Anolis sagrei: one gene and its partners. The protein of the gene in region 1 binds, or shares a complex with, the protein of each later gene. Links are inferred from orthologs where the notes say so. Each region holds a gene or a part of one and is shown in the gene's direction. Other genes may lie near its edges.

Region 1 (7,365 bases):
TAGGGTAAGTTTAGGGTTTGGGTTAGGGTAAGGGGAGCTCTGGCGTGGGCTGGTCCATGAGGTCACGAGGAGTCGGAGATGACTGAACGAATGAACAACAAGGGGTTAGGTTTACGGTGCGGTTCAGGGTTGGGGTAAGGATTAGGGTTTCACCGTTAAAGAACTCTTAGAATCCTTCTATATTATCTGTCTCCGGCCTGGCTTACATTAGCTTAGTCTATGTTGCGATGCAGCATCTCCATAACACTCGGAGCTTCCGCAACCAGCTATCATACTATTACCCTTGGGCCCTCCCGGTGTTTTGAACTTCAACTCCCACAATTTCTAGCAGCCTCAGGCCCCTTCCTTTTGCCCGTCAGCTGCAGCTGCAGGAAAAGGAAGGCGCCTGAGGCTGCTATTTTTTATTTATTTATTTACGACATTTATATGCCGCCCTTCTCACCCCGAAGGGGACTCAGAGCAGCTAACAAGATATATATACATACAATATATTATATTATTAGCATAGTACAATATCAGTATTATATATTACTATATACTATTGTACTATACCATTATATTGTAATATTAGTAATATTACATGTAATATAAAATATATAATTATAATACAGGGTTAGTCAAAATGCATAGGCCAATAAGCCATTCAATTGAATGGCTTATTGGCCTATGCATTTTGACTAACCCTGTATATGATTATTAGTACTATATTGTATTACATTACAATATTATAAATATATATACAGGGTGAGGCAGCATAACTTCCTTTTTTAAAATGCAGTTAAAAATGTAGCGGAGCGAGAGGCGGGAGCAAGCCTGAACCCCTAACCCCCCCCCCCAAAAAATTTTCAGGTAAAAAAAAACTTGGTTTACTCATTAATTTTAACTGGTTAACCAAATCCCCATGCTAAGTCTATGAGACGCAAAAAATTAAGAGTCCCTCCAGAACTGCAAGCACTATCTCAAACAAATATCGACAATTTATTCACACTGTCATTAGCTGATGTAGCGCAGCAACCAAGTTGGGGGGGGGGGGTGTTGAATGCTCTCATTAAGGAGGCCAGACTTGGTGGAGGTGGTTGACAGGGGCAGAGCTGCAGGCTATTGAAAGCTGCTCTGCCCCTGCTGTGCTCTTTGCTTCAGCGTGAGCTAGGAGGCAGGTTTCAACCCCCCCCCCCCCCCTGAAATTTTCTGGGTACGGCCCTGGGCGGGTATAAAGTTTTGTCCTGACACAATTCATTCGCCATCATGCATTGGAACAGTGAGGAGCGTGATTTTGCCGTTGAGGCCTACTTTTCGAGCGGATTTGGAGTGGCTGGCCTGCTCTCCAGATTTGGCCCCTTGTGATTTTTTTCTATGGGTTTTTTTGAAATCCCGTGTTTATGTGAACCGTCCAAGGACCCTACAATATTTCAAGACCAACATCCAGGAAGAAATTGCCAACGTAACTCCTGCTACGCTGGCAAGAGTAATGACAAACGCCAGAAATCGGTTTACTCAGTGTATGGAGAATGGGGGACGTCACCTACCTAATTTGATTTTCAAAACTACGTGAAACAAAACTTTAGGTATGCGCCTACATTATGAAAAAAAATTCTGATTCAAATTCTGTTATTATATAAAAAATTCAATAAAAATTATTATTTAAAAAATTCTGATTCATACAATGAGTTTTATTAAGTTTTAAAAAAGAAAGTTATGCTGCTGCACCCTGTATTCCATGAAATATAAATATATAATTATAATGCCATATTATTATTATTAGTAGTAGTAGTAGTAGTATTATATTGCATTACATATTAACCTCACTTTCCTAGTATCCAACAGACCCCTCAACCTCGGAGGATTGAAAAAAGGAAATTATGCTGCCTCACCTTGTATCTACAATACATTATATGACATTATATTATAAGCATAGCACAGGAGATAAGGTGGAACTGTCCCCTGGCCCCCCTCTCTTCACTCTTTATGTTAGGAATTGTTCTGGAACAGCTGTTCCAAGAGCTCCAATTTTGTTTGCTTTGTTATAGTCCCAAGTTTCAGGGACTCTGCAGATAGGTGGCTTCTTTTGGCTGCAATCATAGGGCAAGCCACCTGTCAATTATAGTTAGGTTCCCTGGTCCCGCCCCCTTTTTGGGGTTTTGGAGGGAATAGGAGCCTTTTTGGTTCAGTCCACACAGAGAAGCCTTTCACAGGACAGAATACCAAGAGCTCCTGTAGAAAGCTTCGTCTTCTACAGCTTGGCTGGGAGATATACAGCTTTACGTCTTGGCCGGGGAGATATACAGCCTACAGCTTGGCCGGGGAGAAAAGGCCTCACAGCTTGGCTGAGGATTTTACAGCCTTACAGCTCCTTTGCTGAAGGACTTCAGCCAGCCATAACTGAAACCTGAACTCCTTTTTCCCTGGAAGTCTACAAAGCTCTTCTTGGTAAGGGTCACTCGCGGAAGCCAGACGCAGTTGGTACCAGGTGTAAGGGCTCCACGCCAACAGAGGCAAAGAAACACTGCCCAGATTAGAAGTTAAGGATTTCCCCATTAGATAAAATACGTCATGAAGATAGTGCCTATTCCCTGTGGACAAGATTGAAAGAGCCAATAGACTGTTAAGAAAGCCTTGAAATACCTGTTTGTTTTCATTAATAAAGAACATTGTTGAACCTTTAAGCAATCTAAAGACTCTGTTTGGGGGAATCCAAGGGCCTTTAATCTGAGGCAGCCCCGGCGTCCCGTTGGGCACACGGAATTTATGTCCTGTCTACAGTCTTATGCACAGGCCCAGCATGCGACAGCACACCCCTCAACCTTGGAGGATTGAAAAAAGGAAGTTATGCTGCCTCACCTTGTATATACAATATATTATATATTGTATTATTATATTACATTATATTACATTATATACAATATATTATATACAATTATATACAATATATTATATTACATAAGCATAGAACAGGAGACAAGGTGGAACTGACCCCTGCCCCCCCCCCCCCCTTCACTCTTCATGTTAGGAATTGTGGAAGTTCAACAGTTCAACAGTGACAAATGCAAGATACTCCACTTTGGCAGGAAAAACGAAATGGGGGATGCCTGGCTTGAGAGCAATACGTGTGAAAAAGATCTTGGAGTCCTCGTGGACAACAAGTTAAACATGAGCCAACAATGTGATGTGGGGGCAAAAAAACCCAATGGGATTTTGGCCTGCATTAATAGGAGCATAGTGTCTAGGTCCAGGGAAGTAATGCTACCCCTCTATTCTGCTTTGGTTAGACCACACCTGGAATATTGTGTCCAATTCTGGGCACCACAATTCAAGAGAGATATTGACAAGCTGGAATGTGTCCAGAGGAGGGCGACTAAAATGATCAAGGGTCTGGAGAACAAGCCCTATGAGGAGCGGCTTAAGGAGCTGGGCATGTTTAGCCTGAAGAAGAGAAGGCTGAGAGGAGATATGATGTTGTTGTTGTTGTTCATTTGTTCAGTCGTCTCCGACTCGTGACCTCATGGACCAGTCCACGCCAGAGCTCCCTGTCGGCCGTCACCACCCCCAGCTCCTTCAAGGTCAGTCCAGTCACTTCAAGTGACTGGGAGATATGATAGCCATGTATAAATATGTGAGAGGAAGCCACAGGGAGGAGGGAGCAAGCTTGTTTTCTGCTTCCCTGGAGACTAGGACGTGGAACAATGGCTTCAAACTACAAGAGAGGAGATTCCATCTGAACACGAGGAAGAACTTCCTGAGTGTGAGAGCCGTTCAGCAGTGGAACTCTCTGCCCCGGAGTGTGGTGGAGGCTCCTTCTTTGGAAGCTTTTAAACAGAGGCTGGATGGTCATCTGTCAGGGGTGATTTGAATGCAATATTCCTGCTTCTTGGCAGGGGGTTGGACTGGATGGCCCATGAGGTCTCTTCCAACTCTTTGATTCTATAAGTTCAAAGGACTTGGAGGGCCCAAGTTTGCTCTATGCCTGTCCTATGGCACTCATTACCGATGAATTAAAAAAAAGACATCCGGTGGAGTGACAACATCCGGCAGCGGACATATTGCAGATGAGCTTTCAATGTATACGCCTGACGTCACTTCCTGTTTTTAAACCCTAAAATAATTACTCCATTGAAGCAACTTCTTAATGTGAAAGGTGGGGGGGAAAATTGATTGAGGATCGTTTCCGTAATAGCATAAACACACGGCTTTGGAGTCTTTTAACGCCTCCGGGCCGCACCTCATCTTCCCGTCGACTGTGAGGAAAAAGAGGAACTGGCTTCTCCAGAGGCGAAAATGGCACAGCGCATGCGCACTACGGAGATGTCCTGTCTATAGCTCCGGGAGGAGGGCGGAGCGAGGAGCGCCAAACAGATTTGAGAACAGAGCGCGCGCATGCGCAGCCTTGTGCTCTCCCTTCTAGTTCCAACCCCTCCCCCTTCACTCCGCTTCCTCACAGAGTTGTGAGAAAAAAAAAAAAAGAAGATGAGGGACCGAACGCACGAGCTCAGAGAGGTAAGGAGCACATCACCCCCTCCCCCTCCCCCCCGCAATCCGCACGCGCGCCCTCTTTCTCCCCCGCGCGCCTGGCCACGCCCACAACGGTCGCTGAGGCCCCGCCTCTCTTGGTGGCGCGAGGGGACTCCGCTCTTCCGTTCATCCCCCCCTTCCCCCTCCGTATATTTCTGCTTCGTTGGCTGTTCCTGTCACACTCCCTCCGTTGGGAGGAGGGGGTGTTCTGTTTTCCTCCATCTTTTTTTGGCCCTTATTTCTGCCTCTTTTTCATCCTCCCATGACAATAGTGTTGCTTTCCTGGGCTTCCCCTTTCTTTTTTTTTAGTGCCTAACAAAGTTGTAACCCCTAAAGTAACCTAAATATAATAAACTAGCTGTGCCCTGCCACGCGTTGCTGTGGCCTATAGTAAAACTTATCAAAGTTGAGGTAGATATCTGGACTATTATGAAAGAGAGGTCCCTACCTATTCCTTCCCCCTTTTCCTCCCCCTTTCTCTCCTTTCTTCCTTCTCTACCTCTTTCTTTCTTTCACTACTTGGTTTCATCCTTCTCTTTCCTTCATTCCCTCCCCCTTTCTTCCTTTGCCTTTCTTCCCTCCCTATTTGCTTCCTTCTTTCACTTTTTATTTCCTTTTATTTTACCACCATCATAACAATAACAATAATGCAATGCATTGCCTCTGGGACCTGACACCTCTCCCATTCCCCTAGGGTCTCATAGGAACAATAGCATAATAATAATAATAATAATAATAATAGTAATAATAATAATAGAAATGTGGCCAATCTTCCCTCTTTCTCTCCTTCTTTCCCTCCTTCCTTCCTTCCCTCCCATCTTTCCTTCTCCTCTTCTTTCTCTATCTCTTTCCTTCCTTCCCCGTTTCTTTCTTTTCTGCTGTCTCTCTTTTCTTTCCTTCCATCTTTCCTTTTCTTTCCTTTTCTTCTTCCTTCTTTCTCTAACTTTCCTTCCTTCCCCCTTTTTCTTTACCTCCCTTTCTCTTTCTTCCTTCTTTCCTTCCTTCCTGTCTTTCCTAGATTTTGACAGGGCAGGAAGGGGCGGGGTGGGGTTTGGAGGTGGTGTGAAGTAAAAGGAGGTAAGATTGGGGCGGGGGAGTGATGGAGCATGGGGTTGCGTGTGTGTGTGTGGCGGCTGGGGGAGTGATGGAGCGTGGGGTTGCGTGTGTGTGTGCGGCGGCGGGGGAAGTGGGGTTGCGTGTGTGCGTGCGGCGGCGGGGGGAGTGATGGAGCGTGGGGTTGCGTGTGTGTGTGCGGTGGCGGGGGGAGTGGGGTTGCGTGTGTGCGTGCGGCAGCGGGGGGAGTGATGGAGTGTGGGGTTGCGCGTGTGTGTGCGGCGGCGGGGGGAGTGGGGTTGCGTGTGTGTGTGCGGCGGCGGGGGGAGTGATGGAGTGTGGGGTTGTGTGTGTGTGTGCGGCAGGGGGTGTGTGTGTGCGGGAAGCGGCGCGGCGGGGCTTGGAGTGGGCAGAGGGAACGTTGGCCGGAAGGCCATGTGCACGCGCCAGGGAACTTGCGGCTGGGCGCCAATGTGCATGCTCAGTTGTTTTGCCGTTTTGTGAGTGTGTTGTTGTGTTGTTTTTCATTTTGAGTAGATATGTTTGTACCTTGTGGGTTGTGTTATGAGCATGGGAATTTTGGTTAAGTTTCGTTGGGGTTTTTTTGAGTTTTATTCTTTTGCCGTTTTGTGAGTGTGTTGTTGTGTTGTTTTTCATTTTGAGTAGATATGTTTGTACCTTGTGGGTTGTGTTATGGGCATGGGAATTTTGGTTAAGTTTCGTTGGGGGAATTTTGAGTTTTGTTGTTTTGCCGTTTTGTGAGTGTGTTGTTGTCTTGTTTTTCATTTTGAGTAGGTATGTTTGTACCTTGTGGGTTGTGTTATGGGCATGGGAATTTTGGTTAAGTTTTGTTGGGGGTTTTTTGAGTTTCGTTCTTTTGCCGTTTTGTGAGTGTGTTGTTGTTTTGTTTTTCATTTTGAGTAGATATGTTTGTACCTTGTGGGTTGTGTTATGGGCACGGGAATTTTGGTTAAGTTTCGTTGGGGGATTTTTGAGTTTTGTTGTTTTGCCGTTTTGTGAGTGTGTTGTTGTGTTGTTTTTCATTTTGAGTAGATATGTTTGTACCTTGTGGGTTGTGTTATGGGCATGGGAATTTTGGTTAAGTTTCGTTGGGGGTTTTTTGAGTTTTGTTTCTCCGTTGGATGCCCCTAACAAATTTATATATATAGATGTAAATGATCTATATTTAGTCTTGAGTTGAAGTCTCTCCTCATGAAATGTAGCCACAAAAATGGAAGGAAAGGAGGTGGTTGTGAATCTATATAAATAATGTCATGTTAGTTTGTGGGGTTAACATAACTCAAACAACACAGGGTGGATTGACACCAAATTTTGACACCAAATTTGTATTAATTAATTAATATATTAAAAATGTAATGTAGTTTGTGGGATTAACATTACTCAAAAAACACTGGGCGGATTGACACCAAATTTGTATAATTAATTAATCTATAAAAATAAAAATGTAATGGTAGTTTGTGGGATTAACATAACTCAAAAAAACACTGGGCGGATTGACACCAAATTTGTATTATTAATTAATTAATCTATAAAATATAAAAATGTAATGTAGTTTGTGGGATTAACATAACTCAAAAAACACCGGGCAAATTGACACCAAATTTGTATTATTAATTGATCTATAAAAATAAAAATGTAATGGTAGTTTGTGGGATTAACATAACTCAAAAAACACTGGGCGAATTGACACCAAATTTGTATTATTAATTAATCTATAAAAAATAAAAATGTAATGGTAGTTTGTGGGATTAACATAACTCAAAAAACACTGGGCGAATTGACACC
Region 2 (7,237 bases), on another chromosome or scaffold:
TCTCTTATGTAAGTCTTTTAAATATAGCTAGTTTTAAAATGGTAATAGCCTCCTATCTGTTTTTGATGGGTTTTCTTACAAGTTGCCTTCAGCAGAATAGCATAGCCAGTCTGTTCCTTGACTTATTTTAGCAGTCTTCCTGGAATTCTAGGTTGAGGCACAGTCAAAGTACATAATAACAGAAGTTCAGGCCTTCAGGCCTGAATTTTACTCATGTCTAATCATTATTTCTTTTTTTGAAAGTAAGGTTCTAGTTATGGAATCATCTAGTTTAATCTGCTACCAGTGGAAGCCTACATTTTGGTGTAGCTGACTCTTGCACATGTGTGCAGGGTGTGTTTATTTGTTTGTTTGCTTCTATTTTGTTTTCCCTAAGGGATTGTGCAAAACACATTTCAATCAAGAATTAATCTGAAAGCTGATTCCTTTAAAAATGCATTTCAGGGCATTATCACATTGAGAGAACAATACTTAGGGATATTTCCAGTGCAAATGGAATGATTTGTCTACATTGCAGAAATGGCACTTTAGCATATACTTCCTTCACAGAATTCTAAACTTCATTGAATCTCATCAATAATTATGTTCTTGTTATCTCCATTTTCCCCAATTGGGTTTCATATAGTAAATGGGTGTTCATGCAACCTTTAGGTTTTCACAAACTTCCACAAGGGCATTCTGATTTTTTCCTCCAATCCCTAAACACACTTTTTAAAAAGCAATCCAATTTGATCTGGATGGGTCTTACTTCCATGCTAAATGTATCCAGGGTTGTAGCCTCAGTACCTTTAGAAAAGCAGTAAGTAAAAACTCGACTTCAGTAGTCATTGTCTTCAGGAGCTAATCAGATACTTTTGGTAGTAAGTCAGTAATTGATATTCCCTGTTTATTGCAGTGTCTTAACATGCTTCTGAACACGGAGGATTTTGTTAACTGCTCCAGTTAATAGCCATTGCTATCAGCGCCTATATATGTACATCTCCTAGAGTCAATGGACCTATTCTAATTAGGAGTAGCCATTGGATTTAGACTTTTAGGTTTGAATTTTAAACATATTCTTAAGCACCACATACATGCAGTAACTTGAATAAATTAGGTTTGCCTATATATTATTTAAAGATTAAAATGCATAGACAAAGCTGTGTTCATTTGGAATATATGTATGCAAAGGGATTTTGAAGCACTTTAGAGACTGTGAGAATGATGTTGGTAGCATAAGCCCTTGTACAGAAAATCTTGCATCTGAAAAAGTAGCTTAGTCTGTGGAAGCTCAGGTTAACAAATTCATTCTCAGTTATTCTGTAGGGTGCTTCAAGATTCTTTTGCATAATAAAGAATTAAAGAGCAGCTGAAGTTAAGTCTTACTTTAACAAGTTAGTATGCAAGCATGCAAGTCAGGATCCCACTCATATAAGCATGAGTATTAGCCACTCACATAAAAATAAAAATTAAGTAAAGGATGACCCCGGTATCCACAGAGGATTTGTTCCAAGACCCCATGGATGCCTGACACTGGATAACTACAAACCCTATATTTTGACTATACTCAGGCTGGTAGCGTACCATGGAACCACACTGGAATATCTAGAGAGGCCCACAAACATTTCTGGGGATGGGAGTCATGTTTTTGAAGTGTGGGTAAGTGACTTTTAAATCCATGGATAAGAGGGTTGTAAGGGAATCAAGGTAGTTTTAACTAAATATGAAAGCAGCTTAGTTCCCTCTGAGAAATGAAGAACAAAGTAATGTCTAGTCATTGTTTTTGGAATCTATTCCACACATTTGAATTTTCAACATCTTGCCCTGCTTTATACAGATTGAATATGCATTTTGATATATTTGTATTTTCAAAGTGAACTATGGCTACAATCCTAAGTATACTTATCTGGAAGTGGGGCCCACTAAATGTTATATGCTTCAAAATGAGGGTTTTAGGGTTGGGATGTAAGGCTGATGGCACTTACAAAACACAGCAACATTTTAAAAGGCAAAGAAAAACACCAATATTAACAGCTTATATGCTTGGGATCATGTTTGTAATGCTGTTAACATTCTGTAGTCCATTTCCAACTGGAGCTCAGAAAATGTATTGAAGATCTTGTCTTGTTTAGAAAAAAAATCTTGTTTAAAAGCATGATCTGTTTGCAACTTTTATAATGTTTAATGTTGTGTAATTTTCCCTTTTTTTTAAAAAAAAAAAAGGCACAATTCAAAAATTTATTTGTTTACTCTGTCACCATTGAGCCCAAGCATTTCTATTCAGATACAAACTCATCAATGTATGCAACATCCTTTGTAATTGAAAATAAATTGTGAAGAGAAGTTCTGACATTATGGTGACTTTCGTGTGTTTTATGTCTGAAATACTTAGATCTTAAGTTGTAAAGTAAATGCGTTTGTTACAAAACATATACAGTATATAGAAGCAACCGAAGTGTCAGCCCTGATTATTAAAATCCACCATTCTTTCATTAAGAAATATAGACCAAAAATAAATAAATGACTGAGATAATGGAATAGAAGGCATGCTTACCAAATGACACCAAATTGAGAGGGATCTCTAATATCCCAGCGGACAGGATCAGAATCCAAAATGACCTAGACAGATTAGAGAGCTGGGCCAAAACTAACAAAATGGATTTCAACAGGGAGAAATGTAAGGGAATACGTACATTTAGACAGAAACAATGAAATGCACAGATATAGGATGGGTGACACTTGCCTTGATAAAAGTTCGCCTGAAAGTAATTTAGAAGTTAGTAAACCATAAGCTAAATATGCAGCAGCTAAAAAGGCCAATGTAATTCTATGTTACATCAATAAGAGTATAGTGTAAAATTCCAAGGAAGTCAAAGTCCCACTCTATTCTACTTTACCCAGACCTCGCCTGGAGTCCTGTGTCCAGCTCTGGGCACCACAATTTAAGAGAGATATTGACAAGCTGGGATATGTCCTGAGGAGAGCCAAACTGATCCAAGGTCTGAAAGCCTAGCCCTATGAATAGTGGCTTGAGCAGTTAGATACGTTTAAGATTGAGATGACAGCCACGTACAAATATTTGAAAAGATGTCATATTGAAGAGGAAGAAGTCTTGTTTTCTACTATTTCGGAAAAGATATGGAAAAACAATCACACTGCAGGAAAAGAGATTCCACTTAAACATTAGGGAAATTTTCCTAAAAGTAAAAGCTGTTTGACAGGGGAAATTCCTTTTTTGGGGCTTTTTAGACAGAGACTGAACAGTCATCTGTTAGGAGTGTTCTGAGTATAATTCATGGACTCCATGGTCCTTGGGGTCTCTTCCAACTCTAGTTCCATGCAATGTTACCAACCTAAGTCTGTGCTGACTAAAGTTTTAGTATTTTGACACCTATATGGATCTATCTGTAGATTATGTGGCGTAATGAAAATCACGTTTTACCAGTCCACACGCTGACTTGCCAGAGAAAGAAAAATATGTCATTCAGATGATCAGTGAAGAACAAGGAGTTTACTCTTTGTAATGCAGAGCAACATATATACAGTCATGTGAACAGTTGCATTGACTCTCACAATGTCCTTTTAGAGAAATTAAAATGGTTTTTCGCTGTCCAAATGGAAAAACATCTTCCAGCAGTTCATGAAGCAAGAACTGTCTCTCTATCTGGGCAAGCTCTTGCACAGCTCAAGCCTTAAAATGTAACTGTTGCCAAAACTCTCAGGCTCAGCTAGCTCCCCCAACCAGTCAGCTTGGTGTTTTGCATTTTCACAAACACCAACGGATTTTTTTTTACATGCCCCAACAGATTACAACTTAAACCTGTAAGGCAAGGAGGGGGAAGTCTATATACATTTTGAAATTCTTGAATAAATATTACTTGGATCACCAGCTGAGAATCCCTCTGTAGCAAAGTAACAGAGCAAAAGGTTTTAATTCAAACTCTGAATTAAGCCAACAGAAATGCAGCCATAAGAACAAGAATATAATATATTCATCCACCCTCTCCTACCCTTGTTTCAGCTGGAAAAAGACTAAACATCAGATAAAGAACCACATCCCAACAGGATGTGACACTGTTGACATGCAAAACATCAAGAGAGATTGAGCCTTAGGAGTGGCCTCTCCCCCTGTCAATCACGCAGCTTTGGAGAGCCCGCCTCCTCCTCCTCCTCCTCCTCCTCCTCCTCCTGGCGCCGCCTTCAGGGCGGAGCAGAGAAAGCGCGCTTCGAAACGCCCCCGCGCCCCCTTTCGCTCGCCGTAGTTCGTTCCAAGATGGCGGCTGCCGCTGACGTGCCGGTCCGCGTCTGCAACCAGGAGATTGTCAAATTCGACCTGGAGATTAAAGCGGCGGTGCAGGTAAAGCCTTTCCCCACCTCTCACGGACCGAGGGCGTTTCGTACCTGTGCCTGTTATTCCTCGGAAGAGCTCTGATCAGGGCACTTCTCCTGACAGCCCTTTCCCTTGAAGGAAATGACGCCTGTTGTATGTTCTGCCTCTCCCTTTCCTTAAGCGGTCCCTCATAGCTCGAGGATGATGGCCCTCCAAGTGAAATGTCTTGGCGGTGGGGCCCTAAGTGGCTGTGGAGCCCTGTTCTTGATCCACATATTCTACCACAGGTTTTGGGGGGGGGAGGGATTCGTGTCAGGAGCGACTTGAGAAACTGCAAGTTACTTCTGGCGTGAGAGAATTGGCCGTCTGCAAGGACGTTGCCCAGAGGATGCCCGGGTGTTTTGATGTTTTGCCATCCTTGTGGGAGGCTTCCCTCATGTCCCCGCATAGGGAGCTGAAGCTGAGAGAGGGAGCTCATCTGCGCTTTCCCCAGATTTGAACCTCCGACCTGTAGGTCATCAGTCATGTGGGCACAAGTTTTTAACCCACTGCGCCACTGCGGGCTCCTTCTCCCAGTGAAGACATTGGTTTCCAAGTGGTTTCCGCAGTGAGGACATTGGTTTCCAAGGCCTCTCCAAGCCCTTTCAGACGTCTGTCATGCCATGTTGCTGTTGTTGTTGTTGTTGCTGCTGTACTCATTAGTACTCCTTTTTCTCTCAGGATGGAGAACAGCGCACAGCCCTACAATTCTACTCACAGAAACCACTTTTTTGAGGAAAGTTTTTAGAACCATATTGATCATAATTTCCAAGAATGGTTTTCCTCCCCAAAAAGCGCCAGCCAGCATTATAACGAATGTTTTTATTTGTTATTAACTAAGCGATTTAGAAGCCTTCAAAATGGAAATATTAAAATAGAATTAAGTGTTACCGTTATTAAACTATTAAGTTAAAGTCTCATTCAAGCTTATTAACAAAGTATTAAAAACAATTCAGACACTATACTCTTTATTATTATTTGAGATTTGTTGGCAAAGGGGGTTGCCCTTGCCTTCCTCTGAGGCTTAGAGAGTGTGAATGGCCCAGAGTTGCTCAGTGGGCTTCCACAGCCTAGTGGGGATTCGAACCCTGGTCTCCAGAGGTCAAGCCAATCCTCAAACCTCTGTCAGGAGGGCTTTGGCCTATTCCCCTGCAGAAGGTCCATCCTGTGGCTCTGATGGTAAGAGGCCTCCGCACAGATAACTAAAGACAGGGCAGTCAGTGATAGGATTCCAGTTCTCCACTTTTTGTGCAGTTATGGTTCTTGCTCACGATTCTTCTCATTGATCAAGGGTCTGGAGAACAAGTCTGTAAGGAGAGGTTTAAAGAGCTCGGCATGTTTAGATTGCTGAAGAGAAGGCTGAGAGGAGATGTAGAAATATGTGAGAGGAAGTCATAGGGAGGAGGGAGCAAGCTTGTTTTCTGCTGCCCTGGAGACTAGGACGCAGAGCAATGGTTTAAAACTACAGGGAAGGGGATTACACCTGAACATTAGGAAGAACTTCCTAACTGTGAAAGCTGTTCAAGAGTGGAACTCTATGCCCCAGAGTGTGGTGGAAACTCTTTCATTGGAGGCTTTTAAACAGAGGCAGGATAGCCATCTGTCAGGAGGGCGTTGAATGTGATTTTCCTGCTTCTTGGCAGGGGATTGGACTAGAAGGCCCATGAGGTCTCTCTCTATAATTCATTCATTTCCATGGCTAGCAAACAAGCACACAAGGTTGCCATTGTGGCTTTGTAGTGTAGGAATTGGACTAGTCTTAGTCTTAATGGCGCTGAATCAATTAAATCTAGTTCACATACTACTAATCATAGTTCGTTATTCTTCTAGTAAAATACAGCAATTTACTTTGTGTTTCTGTGAAAGGGGTTTCTTAACATTTGGGACTAGTTTTCACAAAGTCTGTGGATCTGATTACACTTTGCAATTGATTTGAGGTTGCTAACTTTAAAAATATAAATAAATAGTTTATATTTGTTATTTAGTTAACTCATTACTTTTTAAATGTCCCACTGGTTTAGTGCCTCTTTTCCCTGAGATGCCTGTAGCATTTTAAATGCAAGTATATTGGAACTGGCATGATTGAGTGATTGTGCATACCTTGCCACTTCTCAGTTAATTCTACATTATGTCTGGGGTTCTATTATCAACAGTGTTCACCATCATGCCTAATTCATGATGGTGGTTCAGCCAGAAGACTGAGGACCCTTCCACACAACCCTATATTCTAGAATATCTGCTTCAAACTGGGTTATCTAAGTCCACACCTAGATAATGTGGCATTCAGCAATGTCTGAGTGCTTAGCCACAGTGTATAACATTACATTGCTCGTAAAGCATCATTACATTACATAACAATATGATAGAAGCAAGTGACTATATGATTTTTCTTTGACTTGTTTATTTTAGGATATCCGAGATTGCATGGGGCCTATAAGTACACTTACGGAACTCAATGCCAAAGTGAAGGAAAAATTTCACCATTTACGACTTAGAATCCAGGTGAGGAATGGTGACAAACCATGGGGAAATGTGTAAATAAGGCTTGTAGGCTCATTGTAGTTTTTACCAGCCTACTGGAGGCTGGCAAAGGAGGACGAAATGTCTAGCACTCCTGCAGCAGCTTTCTGCATTTTTATGCTGGGCATGGAGGAGGTGCTTTTCATGGGGATCTCCTAAACTTGCTCATATTTAGAAATAACACCATAGTATGCAGTTGTTTTATATAGTGGCATAGTTGTCTGGGCTCTAGATCCTTTTAGCTTGCTAAAGATAGCTGGTTCACCAAAGAAAGGAGCCCAAGCTACACTAATAATTTAAGCTTCTAGGATTCTACCATTTGAAAAGATGAATTATATGGAATACATACTCCTAAAGACTATTAACCTC
Region 3 (7,376 bases), on another chromosome or scaffold:
GGGTCATCTGTTGAGATGCTTTGAATGTGATTTTCCTGCTACTTGGCAGGGGGTTGGTCTAGATGGCCCACGAGGTCTCTTCCAACTCAATCATTCTATGATTCTATGATCAACACTTTTGCATAAATTGGTACATATTCTGTAATTTGGTAATAGACTGAGCTTCCCTTATCCAAAATGTCTGAGGCTACAGTGTTTTGGATCCCCCCCCCCCCCCCCCAGATTTTGGGATATTTGCATATACATTTGATTAAGACATATATTAAGATGGGCCCAAAATCTAAACACCTAATTCATTTATACTTTATAGCAGGCATGGGCCAACTCCAGCACTCCAGGTATTTTGGACTTCAACTCCCACAATTCCTAACAGCCTACCAGCTGCTAGGAATTGTAGGAATTGAAATCCAAAACACCTGAAGGGCTGAAGATTGCCCATGCCTGCCTTATAAACATAGCTTGAAGATAATGTCACACATATTTTAAATCTGTTTGAAGTCTGTGTGCATTGAACTACCAAAAAGCAGAGATGCCAGTCTCTTGGCCATCTATTTTCAAATTTGGAGTATTTCAGAATTTCAGGTAAGAGATGCAACTCAGCAGGTGTATTTCCCCTATAGGGGTCAATATAAACATTGTTGAGTGCACTAGCAGAAACAGATATTCAGAAATTATTTAATATTTTACACAAGTCAAGCCTGGACTTGTTATGAACAAAAATGTAGGTCTGGAATCAGACCTGGGATGACAATAATAATAATAATAATAATAATAATAATAATAATAATGGGCTGTTGTAGGTTTTTTGGGCTGTGAGGTTAAGGATGCTTGCCACAGATGCAGGCAAAACGTCAGGAGGGAATGCTTCTAAAACATGGCCATACAGCTGAAAAACCTACAACAACCCAGTGATTCCAGCCATGAAAGCCTTCAACAATACAACAACAACAACAACAACAACAACAACAATAATAGCTTTATTTGTATTCCTAGAGAACTCAGGGCAGATTCCAACAACAGAAGGAAAACAAAACATTTAATGCCTATACAATAAGAATAACAAATACAAATGCATTAACAAACCGCCCAAATCCCAAAAAAGTGAATGTATATCACTTTAAAATGCACATAAATCAAGTTTACAACCACATATCAAATTAAACAAACAACTCACTTAAAATTAATTTAAATTATATCTAATATGAAAATATAACTCTGGCATCACAAAGAATTCACAAGAATCAATAATGTATTTAATTATTTACCCTATTTATATCATCTTTCTCTACCCCAAGGGGGATTGAAGGCAGCCAACATATGGTAATTATTCAATGCTTTAAACACATATTATTTATTTATTTGCAAAGGGGACTCAGAGCCACTTACAAGATATATATACATAAAATATATTGTATTATTAGCAAAGTACAATATCAATATTAAATATTACTTTATTGTACTATACCATTATACTGTAATATGATTAGTAATATTACATGTAATATAAATATATAATTATAATATATTATTATTAGTATTATATTGCAATACATTATAATATTATAAATATTATATGTATATACAATATTAAAATATTACTATATTGTACTATACCATTATATTGTAATATTATTAGTAATGTTACATGTAATATAAATATATAATTATAATATCATATTATTAATAGTAGTATTATATTGCATTACATTATAATATTATAAATATTATATGTATATACAATATGTTACATTATATTACATTATTAGCATAGCATAGGAGACATACAAACATTAAGCTTAAAATCCACTGAATTAAAATGAATACATAATTTAAAAATTTAAAAAATTACATTCAGCATTAAAATCACGCCATCCATAACATCTACACCGTAGAAATAATGCAGTTTGACACCACTTTAGCTGTAGTTTTATAAGGCTTCCTCTGCCTGGGAGTGCTGGTGCCTCATCAAACTACAACTCTCATGTTCCAGAGCATTGAGTGATGGCATTTAAGGTGGTGTCAAGCTGGATTTCTTCTAAAGTGTACGCGCATCCAAGGTTTCATTTAGCCAAGCCTTGTTTACATCCTCCAAAAACCCATTGGATTCCAGTCTTGCCCAGATATCTACCTACCTTTACAAAAGGGGAGTGGTTAGGAAACATTTCCCAATCTGGTTTCCTTAATCCAAGATACAAAGTGACATATTATGATCATCGTGATTGGGATCATATCAGTATGCAACCCTCCTCCCAGCAAGCCCAGCCACCCCATTTATTGGGGAACCCAAGGGAACCCCAGGAAGGGGAAGGGCGGCTTGTACCTTCCTTTGCAGCCGAGCTGCTTGTGGTGGGAAGTCAGTCTCTTCGCCTCATTCCCTGCTGCTGCCTCCTCCTTCCTTCCTTCCCCCAGGACAAGAAAGGGAAGCCAAAAGGAAGGAAAGGCAGCCAAGAGGGGGCGCCAGTTGCCGGAGGACACCAGCACTCTTTGGCAGAGGATGCTAAAGTCTGGGTTGCTGTGAGTTTTCCGGGCTGTAGGACCCATGTTCCAGCAGCATTCTCTCCTGACGTTCCCTCTGCATCTATGGCAGGCATCCTCAAGGGTTGTGGGGTCTGCTGGAAATTAGGAAAATGGGGTTTATATATCTGTGGATACTCCAGAGTGAGAGAAAGAACTCTTGTCTGCGTGAGGCAAAGCAGCCAGGCTTTGAAGCTGCAAGGCTATTCGATGCTAATCAAGCTGGCCAATTGCAACATTCACACTTGCATCAAAAAACGAGAGGAAACTAGGAAAATAGGGTTTCTGTGGAATGTCCAAGGTGGGAGAAAGAACTCTTGTCTGCTTGGGGCAAGTGTGAGGCAAAGCAGCCAGGCTTTGAAGCTGCAAGGCTATTTGATGCTAAACAAGCTGGCCAATTGCAACACTCACACTTGCCTCAAACGGACAAGAGGAAACTAGGAAAATTGAGTTTCTGTGGTATGTCCAAGGTGTGAGAAAGAACTCTTGTCTGCTTGGGGCAAGTGTGAGGCAAAGCAGCCAGGCTTTGAAGCTGCAAGACTATTCGATGCTAATCAAGATGGCCAATTGCAACATTCACCCTTGCCTCAAACAGACAAGAGGAAACTAGAAAAATGAGGTTTCTGTGGGATGTCCAAAGTGGGAGAAAGAACTCTTGTCTGCTTGAGGCATGTGTGAAGCAAAGCAGCTAGGCTTTGAAGCTACAAGGCTATTCAATGCTAATGAAGATGGCCAATTGCAACATTCACCCTTGCCTCAAACAGATAAGAGGAAACTAGGAAAATGGGGTTTCTGTGGAATATCCAGGGTGGAAGGTGGGAGAAAGAACTCTTGTCTGCTTTGTGTGAGGCAAAGCAGCCAGGCTTTGAAGCTGCAAGGCTATTCGATGCTAATCAAGCTGGCCAATTGCAACATTCACACTTGCCTCAAATGGACAAGAGGAAACTAGGAAAATGGGGTTTCTGTGGAATGTCCAGGGTGGGAGAAAGAACTCTTGTCTGCGTGAGGCAAAGCAGCTAGGCTTTGAAACTGCAAGGCTATTTGATGCTAATCGAGCTGGCCAATTGCAACATTCACACTTGGCTCAAACAGACAAGAGGAAACTAGGAAAATGGGGTTTATGTGGAATGTCCAAAGTGGGAGAAAAAACGTTTCAATGTTTCAATGGACTACCTTGGTTAGTATTCAGTGGCCTAGCTGTTTCAAGGTCTGGCTTCATACTGCCTGGGGGAATCCTTTGTTGGGAGGTGATTAGCTGGTCCTGATTGTTTCTTGTCTCCAGACAAGAAACTCCCCTGTTTTTGAGTGTTGTTCTTCATTTACAGTGCTGATTTTGTTAGGTACTGTTAGGAATTGTGGGAGTTGAAGTCCAAAACACCTGGAGGGCCCAAGTTGGCCCATGCCTGGTAGATGCACTCCAAGACAGGCAGGACAGAAGATATTTAGAGGGGGGGGGGGAAGAAACCAGATTTGTGTAAGGACAGAAGAGAAACCAAGAAACTTGGTTCCCCCTTTTTATAGTTTATTTTTTTTGTAATTAATTTGCCAAGAATGGGGCTGGACTGGATAGCCTCTAGGGTTCCCTTCCAGCTCTATCATTCTGTAAACCTTACAGAGGCAGCAACCTACGTCACAAACAGGGGCGGGGCCAATGCTCTTGGATGCCCGAGGCGGAGAATCCAAAGGGCAGCCACTTCCTGTTCCTGCCCTCAAGAAACATGGCGGCCCATTCCCACTCAGGGAGCATGCCCTCTGGAAAAATGGCGGTCTAAGCCGCACTCTTCCGCTCTCGGGGGAGGCGCTTATCCAATCCCCGCCCCACGGCCTCCTTGCCCTCTTCCCTGATTGGTTCGTTTGCAGATCGATTGCCCTCCTTGGCACCGCCTCTCGCCTTGGCTCCGGATGGGACACGGAGGCAAGAGGCAGCCATGGCGGATTGGGGCCGAGGTAGGAAGGGAGGGAGGGAGCGGTGTCTGAGGGGAGGCGGTAGGCCTCGGAGGGAGGAGGAGAGTGGGCGCCCTTCGTTCTGCCCTAGTTAAGCCTTCCCTTTGTTTTGGGGAGAGGGCCCTCCTTCCCGTTGAAGCAGGCCTGGGCAAACTTGGGCCCTCCAGGTGTTTTGGGCTTCAACTCCCACCATTCCTAACAGCCTGTAGGGCCGAAGGTGGCCCAGGCCTGCTTTAAATGGTTCTCCCCCCACGTCTCCTTTGTTTTCTTTCACAGAAATGCCCTTTGACAGCTGAAATAGTGAGTCAGGCACAGTATTGCCCATCTTAACTCCATAGCATTGAGTCATGGCAGTTGAATCTGTTTCAAACTGCATTAGTTCACAAGTGTAGACCCACTGAATAAAAAGAAAAGGAATTATTCATGCCGGAAATTCTTGAGACCAGAAGTATTTTGGATTGTGGCATATTCACCTATATTAAATTAGGTATCCTAGAGATAGGACTCAAAAGCTAAACAGGACATTCATTTGCTTCATTTGTATATATGTGTATATATGTTATTATACATTATTATTTGATACACAAAAAGATTAGTGCACAGCAAGCAAGAACGCTGTGCTGGCTTTTGTATTTGATTACACTTCAGACACATCCCAAGTATCTGTGTGATGTATTAGGAAATAATGTATGCAGAACCAGGTAGGGTGGCCTATTGCAACTGACAAATGGTAATATTGTAGGCGCCGACTGTTTTTAAGTGCAGGCCAAGGTATTTAGGCACTGTACCCAGTGTGCCGATCACCACTGGGACCACCTTTACTGGCTTGTGCCAGAGTCTTTGCATTCATTTATGATACATTATCATCATCATCATCATCATCATCATCATCATCATCATTAAGGAGCCCCCGGTGGCGCAGTGGGTTAAACCCCCCCTCCCCGTGCCGGCAGGACTGAAGACCGACAGGTCGCAGGTTCGAATCTGGGGAGAGGCGGATGAGCTCCCTCTGTCAGCTCTAGCTCCTCATGCGGGGACATGAGAGAAGCCTCCCACAAGGATGATAAAAACATCAAAATCATCCAGGCATCCCCTGGGCAACATCCTTGCAGACAGCCAATTCTCTCACAACAGAAGGTACTTGCTCCTGACACGACAAAAAAAAATCATGTTTATTTATACCCCATTTTATCTCTCCGAAGGCAACTAAAAGTGGCTTGACATTAACACATCAGCATAACCATTTAAAATATACAAGTATTGTTGTTGTTGCTATTATTACTTATATTACTTATATTATTACTTGTTACTTATAATATATTATTACTTTATCTCCCCAAAGGTGACTAAAAGCAGCTTGACATAAAAGCATCAGCATAATCTTTTACAAATATACAATTAGTATTATTATTATTATTGTGGTTATGTTTGTTTATACCCTGCTTTATCTCCCTTGAAGGCAGCTCAAAGCAACTCAATATAAAAGCATCAGCATAAACATTTACAAATATACAAACATTAAAACAGGATTAAATATAAACAGTATTCAAAAACTTTGCTTAATTTGTTGAGTCACTGGCTTATTTATTTATTGTTTATTCCTATCCTTACAATCAAAAGGAAGGCTACAAGTTAAGAATAACTTTACATAGCCTAAGAGTCCTTTCATAAACAGTTTTAAAGAATTTCAGGCATGCAGCAAAGTTCGTATATACTGATCCATCAGAAAGCAAATGTCTTGCTACTTTCTTATTTCAGTGGACTTCTGTCCTTCCCCAAAATGTTTGGGATGGCTGTGTTTTGGATTTTTTCAGATTCTAAAATCCTTGCCTATCAGTAATGAGACATCATGGAGATGTGACACCCACAACATTCATTTATGATTCATACATGCATATATAGCCTCAAGGTTGTTTTATATACAAAGATTTTTTTTAAAATAATTTTGTGCGTGAAACCAGGTTGGACATATTGAACCCTTAGAAAAAACAAAGATGTTACTTTCTCAGCCATTGTGCTGAGATTGGATTTGGGGATTTATGAATAAGGGATATTCCAACCCTGTATTTCCATTATTGGTTTCTCCATTTGTTCTGCTTTCATTTTGGGTGGTTATGTGTGGAAACTGATTTTTTTTAATACTGTTACATTTAATTCTGTTTTAATATTTGCATATTTTTATATTTAAAATTATGTGGTCATACTTTTAATGTAAGCCACTTTGAGTCTCCTTTGGGAGAGATAAAGCGGGGTATTGGTGAGGAGGAGGAGGAGGAGGAGGAGGAGGAGGAGGAGAAGAAGAAGAAGAGCAATAATAATAGTAATAGTAATAATGGTGGTTACATGGGGTTAAGCAAAGTTCTCCAATTATGGATCCTGGCTGGACAGCAGTAGAAAAAGAGTGTGGCATTAAAGAATATAAAATGGTTATATGAGACACTGTTTTTATTGAAATGCATGTAAACTACCAGCATGACTTTCTATGACGGCAATGGGAATTTTTCCACATACTGGGGAAAATGCTGTGTTCTGTGGCTGTGAATACAGAGCAAGAATCCATTAGCACATGCACCATGTCTATACAGAGCATGAATCCATTAGCAGTAGCAGCCATGTCTACATCATGTTGCAGTGAGTTTCACAGTTAAACTTTGAAACTCACTGCAACATGATGTAGACATGGCTGCTACTGGAATGGCTTGAAAGAGGGTTTCCATATATTCAAAGAGGGAGGAGCCATCAATGGCTGCTACTTTGGGTTGCCGTGTGTCCATCGCTGGGGCTTGTGAGATGGAGTTGTACTCAGGTCTTGCTGGTGGTTTCTGCTGCATGTGGTCCTTTGACTTCATCTATTGTGAATTTCCTTATTCCTGTAAAAATACTGCAAAGTATGGCACTTTGCTTCTGAAACTGGGTCT

The links. The genes of interacting proteins can lie anywhere in the genome.
Region 2: STX4 (region 1) and BNIP1 share a complex: the UniProt entries of both Homo sapiens proteins name them as parts of the SNARE complex. The link is inferred for Anolis sagrei from reciprocal best matches to the Homo sapiens genes STX4 and BNIP1.
Region 3: STX4 (region 1) and BET1L share a complex: the UniProt entries of both Homo sapiens proteins name them as parts of the SNARE complex. The link is inferred for Anolis sagrei from reciprocal best matches to the Homo sapiens genes STX4 and BET1L.

Annotation. Positions count from the first base shown.
Region 1 is NC_090026.1:14,722,664-14,730,028, forward strand, and holds the start of STX4 (syntaxin-4), read left to right. Parts: upstream 1-4,358; 5' UTR 4,359-4,461; coding exon 4,462-4,491; intron 4,492-7,365. UniProt on the Homo sapiens protein: Plasma membrane t-SNARE that mediates docking of transport vesicles. Necessary for the translocation of SLC2A4 from intracellular vesicles to the plasma membrane.
Region 2 is NC_090022.1:100,712,800-100,720,036, reverse strand, and holds the start of BNIP1 (vesicle transport protein SEC20), read left to right. Parts: upstream 1-4,218; 5' UTR 4,219-4,252; coding exon 4,253-4,336; intron 4,337-6,757; coding exon 6,758-6,850; intron 6,851-7,237. UniProt on the Homo sapiens protein: As part of a SNARE complex may be involved in endoplasmic reticulum membranes fusion and be required for the maintenance of endoplasmic reticulum organization. Also plays a role in apoptosis.
Region 3 is NC_090021.1:237,756,780-237,764,155, reverse strand, and holds the start of BET1L (BET1-like protein), read left to right. Parts: upstream 1-4,357; 5' UTR 4,358-4,442; coding exon 4,443-4,461; intron 4,462-7,376. UniProt on the Homo sapiens protein: Vesicle SNARE required for targeting and fusion of retrograde transport vesicles with the Golgi complex. Required for the integrity of the Golgi complex.